Linked DNA regions of Drosophila melanogaster. The protein of the gene in region 2 interacts with the protein of the main gene of each other region in a pairwise test. Each region holds a gene or a part of one and is shown on either strand. Other genes may lie near its edges.

The links.
Region 1: the proteins of drongo (region 2) and RpS28b interact in a two-hybrid assay, tested with the Drosophila melanogaster proteins (one large-scale study listed by BioGRID).

What each region holds. Positions count from the first base shown.
Region 1 is NC_004354.4:9,553,075-9,556,214, reverse strand, and holds RpS28b (ribosomal protein S28b), read right to left. Parts: upstream 1,593-3,140; 5' UTR 1,506-1,592; coding exon 1,308-1,505; 3' UTR 1,287-1,307; intron 1,220-1,286; 3' UTR 554-1,219; downstream 1-553. Other genes in the region: CG15317 (uncharacterized protein), read left to right, coding at 1-40, 100-433; l(1)G0320 (lethal (1) G0320), read left to right, coding at 2,700-2,763.
Region 2 is NT_033779.5:848,051-853,037, forward strand, and holds the start of drongo (drongo), read right to left. Parts: upstream 3,022-4,987; 5' UTR 2,019-3,021; coding exon 1,849-2,018; intron 1-1,848. Other genes in the region: CG4291 (uncharacterized protein), read right to left, coding at 3,393-3,609, 3,668-4,392, 4,449-4,521, 4,578-4,579; kraken, read left to right, coding at 4,886-4,955.

The sequences.
Region 1 (3,140 bases), on a different chromosome or scaffold from region 2:
CGGTGTGCCACGATGTTTACCGTAGCCTGCAGGACAGCATGTAAGTGGCCTAATCCCAGCCAGAAACTTTTCTGATTTGCCTTGCCATCCAATTCATAGATCGAAACTGGTTTCCGAGCTAGGGCAGATATCCGCCCAAGTAACTGACTTCGAGATTGAGTGCCTGCACCTATGTAATGAGCAGCAGCAAACCAAAACACCTGCAGCATTGACAGAATTCAGAAATTTCCTGGAGGAATCGCTGAAACTGCTGCAGAACCAGGTTAAATACCTAGAGCTTCATCTTAGTCAGCTGCAACCCAAGTTTTCCGCACCCGAATCCTCGTTGGAGTCCTTCAAATCCGATCTCCAACTGCCGGAACCTGCAGAAGCACGCATTACCCTTGGATTGGCCAAAATAGAGAGACTGTCCAGTTTTCCGCTGACTTTGTAGGGAAAATTAGGCTTAAGGAATATAGAAACATATGCACCTCAGTGGTTTTAAACCATAATTTGCTATACAATGTTTTATATATTAACTAACTGAGCTATTGACTTTTATTATAAAAATGTTACGTATATTTTCTGTGCAGCTCCAGCAGTTCAAATATTTAAACTATTTTTTATACAAAAAATACTGTGCATTCATTAACATTGATTGTCAAATCTGAAATGTGATTGGGCTATATAATCACTCGGCTGGCCTCTCTTTGAAATATCTTTTCGTGGACGAAAAAATAAAACATTTTTTTTAAGATGTTAACGTGTCCAGAACTTCTGATCATTGTGTTTAACAGAAAAACTTTGCGTTTATAAGGAAATCAACGAAACGTGTTTTTAGCAACTGGAGAATTTCGTCTGTATTTTCTTTGTTGATTTCCGAGAAGGCAAGGGTTTCTGCTAAATGCAAATACATATTGTTAAAGGAAGTCGCTTGAAGACCACATTCCATTGTCAATTTTCACTGGGCACTCAAAAAAAACACAGAAACAAAAAAGGTAATGAAACCAAAACACAGGCTTGATTGGTTTTCTTTTCGTACAAAGGCGGTCCAATGCTCTCGAGATTTATTTAAAACACATTTTTGCTGATTTTCTGGCGAATTAGGTGTGTATTTTCATTTGTTTATAACGAATATGCAGCAGCCTCGTTCGGATTTCTTGCCATCCGCTTCTTCTTCTCCGCGAAAAAAACAAGGCGCGTGCGAAAAACAGTTTTGTGTATGTGTGTGTAAAAAGGTCTGCGGAATAAATAGAAGGTGTGTTAAGACGTGTGTTCACTGTGGCCAATATTCCAGGTGCGCTTACCTTCTCGAGTTTGGTCGCCAATTAGCGCAGCCTCCTGGCTTCACGTTCGGATTCCAAAAGGGTCAGGATGTCGCCCTCGCGAACTGGTCCCTTCACGTTTCGGATAATCTGGCGGTTCTGCTCGCCCAGGAACTCGACCTTCACCTGGGTACACTGACCCTGGGAGCCGGTGCGGCCCAGAACCTTCATGACGCGTGCCCACACAACTGGTTTGTCCATGTTAGATCGCTAAAAATGCTAAATTCGCAGAGAATTCACGTGCAAGATGCGCTTCAATTGACAGCCGCAAGCAAAAAGGAAGTTGAGCGGTTATCGGCACAGCGACGTGAAGTTGGCTGCGTTGCGCAGGCCAATCGATAGCTGCGATTAACGGCCCCGCTCACTATCGATTGCGCTTGAGTGGCTAGAAAATAGCGAAAAAAATTATTTTACTACTCGAAAAAGTAGTTTTTACCCTCCGTATGCCTTGTTTTTTTAAATGGTTCGTGTTCCAAAAATTAGTATTTATATTTAATTGCATTTTTCCTAAATCTTTAAGCGAACTTTTATTGTTCACACAATAACAATAGAAAATTGTGTTCATATATCTATTATTGATTTTTTAAAAATTTTTCCAATTTGTATTGCTACATTTAAATTTGACCATTCAATTTTGTTTTATAATATTTCTGGTATACAGACAATGTTATATTAATAATGTCAACATAATATTTTCTAGCAGAAAAAATAGCCAGATAATAGCGGTGTAATAGCCAAGTTGGCAGCACGATGGCCGAACAGTGCTGTAAAATATTTGTAGCATTTTTACCTCCGTCAAAAAATGATATTTGGTATAAAAAATAAATATATTTTGAATTTTATAATTGCATAAAATATTATGTTGACCAAAATATTGCTTTTAAATGATAAACATGAAAAAACACGAGGAATGACAGTTGCGGCGTTTGGCATCACTACTTGTCTCGCTAGAGTTGTCGGTGCACTCAAATGTCAACAAAATAAGCCAAGATCTAATATTATTGATTATTTTAGATATGAGAAAATGTTTTTAACTATAATCAAATGAATGTTTTATGTATGACTAGGCAGAATGCCTATCCTGAGTAAGCTAAATAGCTAAAAACTGAGTAATTGACCTACGGATCGAGAGGCCCTTGCAACCCTAGACGTGGCACCACGTAGACATTTGTCAGTGAAAGTCGTGTCTCGGCTTCGTGCCCACTTCGTGCATTGTCGGCTTCTGTTTTCGCCGCTATACCACCGAAGCCCGTCACTTCTTCATTTTCACTCGATCGGGAAGGTTGTGTGTGCGTGCGTTTTTCCCTCAGCCGATTTCCCAGCCAAATTTCCGTGTGTGCGCCGCGCATTCGATTGCATTTGGAGCCCCGACGACATTATAAAACAGCCAACAAGATGAGGCATCTGATGTTCCTAATGCTGATGGTCCTGCCCATCGTCATCTGCACCTTCTCGGCGCGTAAGTAGAGTCTCTTACCCTCGCCGATAAATAACAATCGCTCGGTGGGCGGGGGTGTTCCCATCCGTATACGTGGCATTTTGCCGACGCATCTGCTACGTGGATTATGCTTTATGGGACTGCCAATCAATGCACACCGTATACTAACATCGTAATTCAGTGATTTTCATTCATCTTTGGTGGTCGAATTTTTATCATACGGTCAAAACTGTTGAGTTGGCATGAGGCCTATCGACCTCTCGCTCTGACTCGTGAGTTGGCTCGTCTGAGATGTCTATGAATTCGTTTAGTTACCAAGATCAAAGCTTCAAACTGAGCACAAGGGTGTTTTTTTTTTAAGGATACTCGATATATATCCTAGTTTCACATTGATCGGC
Region 2 (4,987 bases):
GCGCCACCGCGGACATTCCCATTCTGAAACCCACTACCATTGCCAGTTCCATTCTCATTCCTGAACCGCTTCCTCCATTAAGCGCTCCAAGTGACCGGCCGGTCTGCAGCGGATTCCAATATCCAAAGGCGGGCCGAACATGCACAGCCATTTCTTCGTGAGTCGGAGGAGTTGGTTTCATTTGGTATTCCCTGCACTCGCTCCCTTGTCGCAGTCGACGTTCCAGTCTCATTTTCAGCCAGGAAGTTCGTTGTCGCCTGCTGTCGCCCCTGCCACGCCCCCTTCCTCGGCCGAGTCCCCCATTTGCTGCAGTACCTTTCCACACCCCTTTTTGGCTACACCGGCAGAAACGTGGCACGTCGTTAGACTAGTAACTGAAAAACCGCAGAAGTATCCGACTAACAGGACCAATTGTTTGTTACAATTAACCATTAACCCTTTCTCGCAGTGCAATCGCTTGGTGTCCCCGGCATTTATGTGGCTTTTCATTTACATGCCAACATTTGTTTCCCTTGGCAGTTGGCAACAAGGTTTGAGGACTAAGGATTGAGGATTGAGCACCGCACACCGAAGACTGAGGAATGGGCAATGAGTCATCGAAACAAGAGTTGGGGACTGCAGAGTGCAGCAGGGCGAACGCATTGCAGTTGGCTACTTTTCAACCTGGTTCCGATGATAGAGATAACTCAGCGGAGAAACCCGCATGCTGTCCAATTGAGAGGCCACAATCTGGGGCACACGAATCGTGGGAGACTGGGCTTCTGGACCTGGGCCAAGCGGAAGTTTAAGAGCAATCATGTAATGTGCTTGATCCGGAAATGCGTAAATCAAATGAAATGCAGTGTCGGCGGAGTGGTAATACATATATGACCCCAATTTGGCCATAGTGCTCACAAATCAAAGCCAATTTGCCAAATTACTTAGAGGGGCAAAAATAAAAAATAAACTGAGGGGCGCCAAGGACACCCACAACTCAACCGCCAGGTGGGCGGCTCTCGAAAACGTCTCCCCACGGAAAAACACGAATAGAAAGCGACGCCGGCGAAGACAAAACAATTTCGTTCGCCGCGATGTCGCGCAATTGAAAGTTTTGTCTTCGATTTGCATTTGCATTCAAAAAGGAAAGGAAGCCAAATTGTGCGAAATTGTTCGAAATTGTTGGGGAATTGCTTTCGCTTTCACACACAATACGAAATAATAATGGGGGGCGGGATCGGACATTGCATCGATCGATCGCAAATTATCGGTCACTCCACTCGGGCACAGATCCCAAATGGACGTCAGGCGAGTTCAAATTGGCTGGGTTCAAGTCAAGATAACACGGGAGACCAAGAAAGGTCCACGGATCGACGTTGATAGCTCTCAATTTGCATTTCTATTTTTGGAAACACTCAAGGCAATATTTTATATGACTCCTAAACGCAGTGGGGGTAGCCCATTTGGCAGTTATCAGAATATGTATATAGGTAGCCAGCTTTTTGATAAAAAACATGTGTGAATTCAACCAAAAGCCATTCAAGAAAGCCATAACCATAAATGTCGTATATCTGGATTCTTCTTGTGGAAGATTTTAAGAGATTTGTCAGTTCATAACCCACCATCCTTATTCTACAAATCTCAAGCTAGATCAATCTGTGCATCGGAAATTGTTTGAAATATTTTCCAGAGGTATCTTGAATACCTGGTAAACTCAAAGAGACAACCAAAGAAATAACTAAAATATGAATAGCCAAGTTACAGTTACATTCTCATAACAAAGGTCACCTAGCAGGCGACTTATGCCTAATTCCTGGATCTACCCTACATTATCCCAGACTAGAAAACAACAACAAGAAGGCAAATACTTACAGGACTCCGGAGCAGCGGGTGCAGACAAAGGATCCGATGGTCATGTTCACGTAGGTTGGTCCTTTTTGGCCGCAGTCGAAGCACTGCCGATTGCTCCCCGTCCCGCTGGCCACTAGTTCCCGCAGGGCGAGCAGGTACTTGTCGTCCTGTTTCTTGCGCACCACCGCCATTGTCGCCGTCTCTGTCGCTCCCTTGGCCGCCGCCCTTTGTACCGCTTCCGGTACTACTGACGTCGACGTTGTCGTTGTTGTTGCTCCTGCTGCTGCGATGAGCGGCCTGACGGAGGGTCCGCTACCTGCGCGCTCCTCCTCGGATTCCTCCGCTTCCGCTTCGTGGCTCTGAGCCCGATCCTCGTCGGATCCAGCTAGCTGCTCGGTGTCCGAGGGCAGCCGCTCCTCGGGGGGCGGGAGTGGGTGGTGGTGGGTGGACCGCTCGGCCGCGTAGGGCGCAAAGGGGGCGACGGCGGTGCGGTAGGAGGAGGCGGCGTGGGGCGCGGAGCTGTTGTAAGCGTACACGAACTGAATCTTGCCTGATTTTTTGAATTCTTTCGGGAATTGGTATCGTTTACTTTCTGCTCCAAATTGACGTAAATTTCCGCTGTTATCGTTTTTTGCCTATCGTAATGGCTGGCTATCAGGATCGTTTAGGGAATCAAAAATTTTTATCGGGAATGCGAAACTGACGTAATTCCCCTTCCCCTCTTCTAAGCTTTCCTTTCCTTTTCTTTACGCAATTTTTGGCTTGACCTTTCCTCTCCTTCGACGCACACTCACACACTCACTTTGACACTCACACTGACAGGTGTGTGTGTGCGGTGCGATTTATCGAAAACCACTTTTCCGATTGCCCGTGTTATTGTTTACTTTTCACTTCTTCGACTCGCAGAATTTCGCTTCAATTCAATCTATTTACACCGAGTGCCGCTGCAATTGCCACACAGATTTCAGATTTCAATTGAAATTTCGACGCTGCGAATGCACTCGCCACTTTTGCTGCTTCCCCTTCTCCTTGTTTGTTTGCAGTGCGGATTCGAAGACGAGTGGAAAACGAACAGCGAAACGAAACGGAACGAAACCAAACAGCACAGCGCACTCGAAACAAAATAGCGCGACTCGACTCAACACAATTCCGACGCAAATTCCGACCGCTCGCCTACAACAACAGCAGCAGAGTGACCGTTGGCGGACGGGAGAAACATACCTCGTGTTGCCGCTGGAAATGCACTAAAATTGGACGGAGCTCTAAGACCTAAATATGCCGCAACTAAAGCACAGACACACACCGATTGAACCTAATTCGATAACTGTTATCGAAATTTAAAACTTTTTAAAAAACATATTACTATTTAAAATGTTGGGAAATATTTATTGAATGCAAGTCGACTAAAGATAATAATAATTCTACAATAGCTATGTTTAATCTAATATTAGTTAAACGCATCTCACTTTTTAATTGGTATAAGCAAACACTTAAAAACCTAAACATTTCCTATGCCTAAACCTAACTAGTAGGTGAAATATGCACATAAGCACATGGAGTACTTCTTAATCCTCGGCGCGCTGGCGGCTGTTTCCCTTCCTGATGAATTTCCGCTTGAACGTGGCGGGCGCAGTGGCGGCTATCTCCTCATCCAGACCGCCAATCGTCTTTTCCTTGAACTTCTTGACTGGAGGTTCTGGTTCACTCGAGGCGGAAACCACGGGCGCAGCACTGTAGTAATCCGTTTTGGGTAGCTGCCAGTCGATGGGCTGCTCAGGTGCTCTACAAAAATCCATAAATTTATCAGTAAATGCATTTGAACCTAGTAGGAAGGCCCTACTTCACTTCCACAGTTTGCCACTGTCCAATCTCTTTGGTGGCCGCCTCTTCCTCCGTTTTGAATGTCTGACGCCTCTCCTCCTTCTGCTTCTTTTCCTTGGGATTGTCCGTCCTGCGGAAGGCTTTCATCTTCTCTCGGTTCACCCTCGCCACTTCCTCGTCGACATTGGCGCGGAATTTCAGCGATTCCTCGGCCTGGGAGATCTGCTGCTGGTCGATGGCCAGCTGGTTGATGCGCTCGTACTCCTCGTAGGACAGATAGCCCTCTTTCGGCGGCTTCCACACGGATTCATTGGTCTTCACGTTCCAATAGTAGGTGTGTCCCTCGTCCGACTTGCCCTCCACCCAGAGGGATGCCTCGGGCACGGCTGCGTCGCTTGTTACCTTGCCGGGAGCCACCCGCCTCTGGTCTTCTTCTTCGTCGGACAATCCTTCCAGGCGCATGGGGTCCACTTGGCGTGATCTTCCGGCGAAGGAGTGAGCTCCGCCTGAGGCGGCAGCAGTGGCGGTGGCCCTCATTACCGTGTTAATGGACCTGGCGGTCATGTCACCGCGCGAATGGACATCCTGTGCGTACGACTTCATGGCCGCCTCCTCCATCTTGCGGATCTCCGCGTCCATTTTCTGGCGCTCCCGCTCCGATTTCTCGCTGTTGCGACTGATGTCCGTGATCCGCTTGGCCACATTCATCTTGTGCCGCTTGCCACTCTCGTGGAAGGCGACGCTCTGCGGGATTAGGGGTCATTAGAGTGCCGAAAAGCGAGTTTATTCTATGGACTCACCGCCTTGTTGTCGCTCAGCCAGCATTTGCAGAAGTCGCAGAACTTGCGCTCGTTTGATTTCCAGTACTCCGTCCTGTTGGAATCGAGAGTTAGCTATGGCAAAGCCGGAGGATAATAACGCAGACTTACATGATGATTTCTCAGCTTAATTGTTTCGAATACAAGTAATATTAAATTTTGTTTGCAATCGCAAATGAAAACAATGTGCGGGAGTTGCCACCCAGTCGCGAATGGAGCTGCACAATAGCTCCGTATCTGACTTTCTAGCCATTCCACCGCCAAACCGACATATCTGTCAATAGCTATTGACAATCGAATTCCGTTGATCGGCAAAACTTTGCGACTTTAGTTAGTCGCTTTTTGAGATTCCCCGAGGCAGGAGCTCGCCCGATCCGCGTCCAGCATTACGGAGCACCATTTGCGAGCAGCAATTAGCCATGGGCCAGACACGCGTGGCAGCAACAACAGCGGCGCAATCTCCCGCGGCGGAACTTTCGCCAGAGACAAGTGAGTAAACCGGAGGAGGAGGTCGTGGTCAG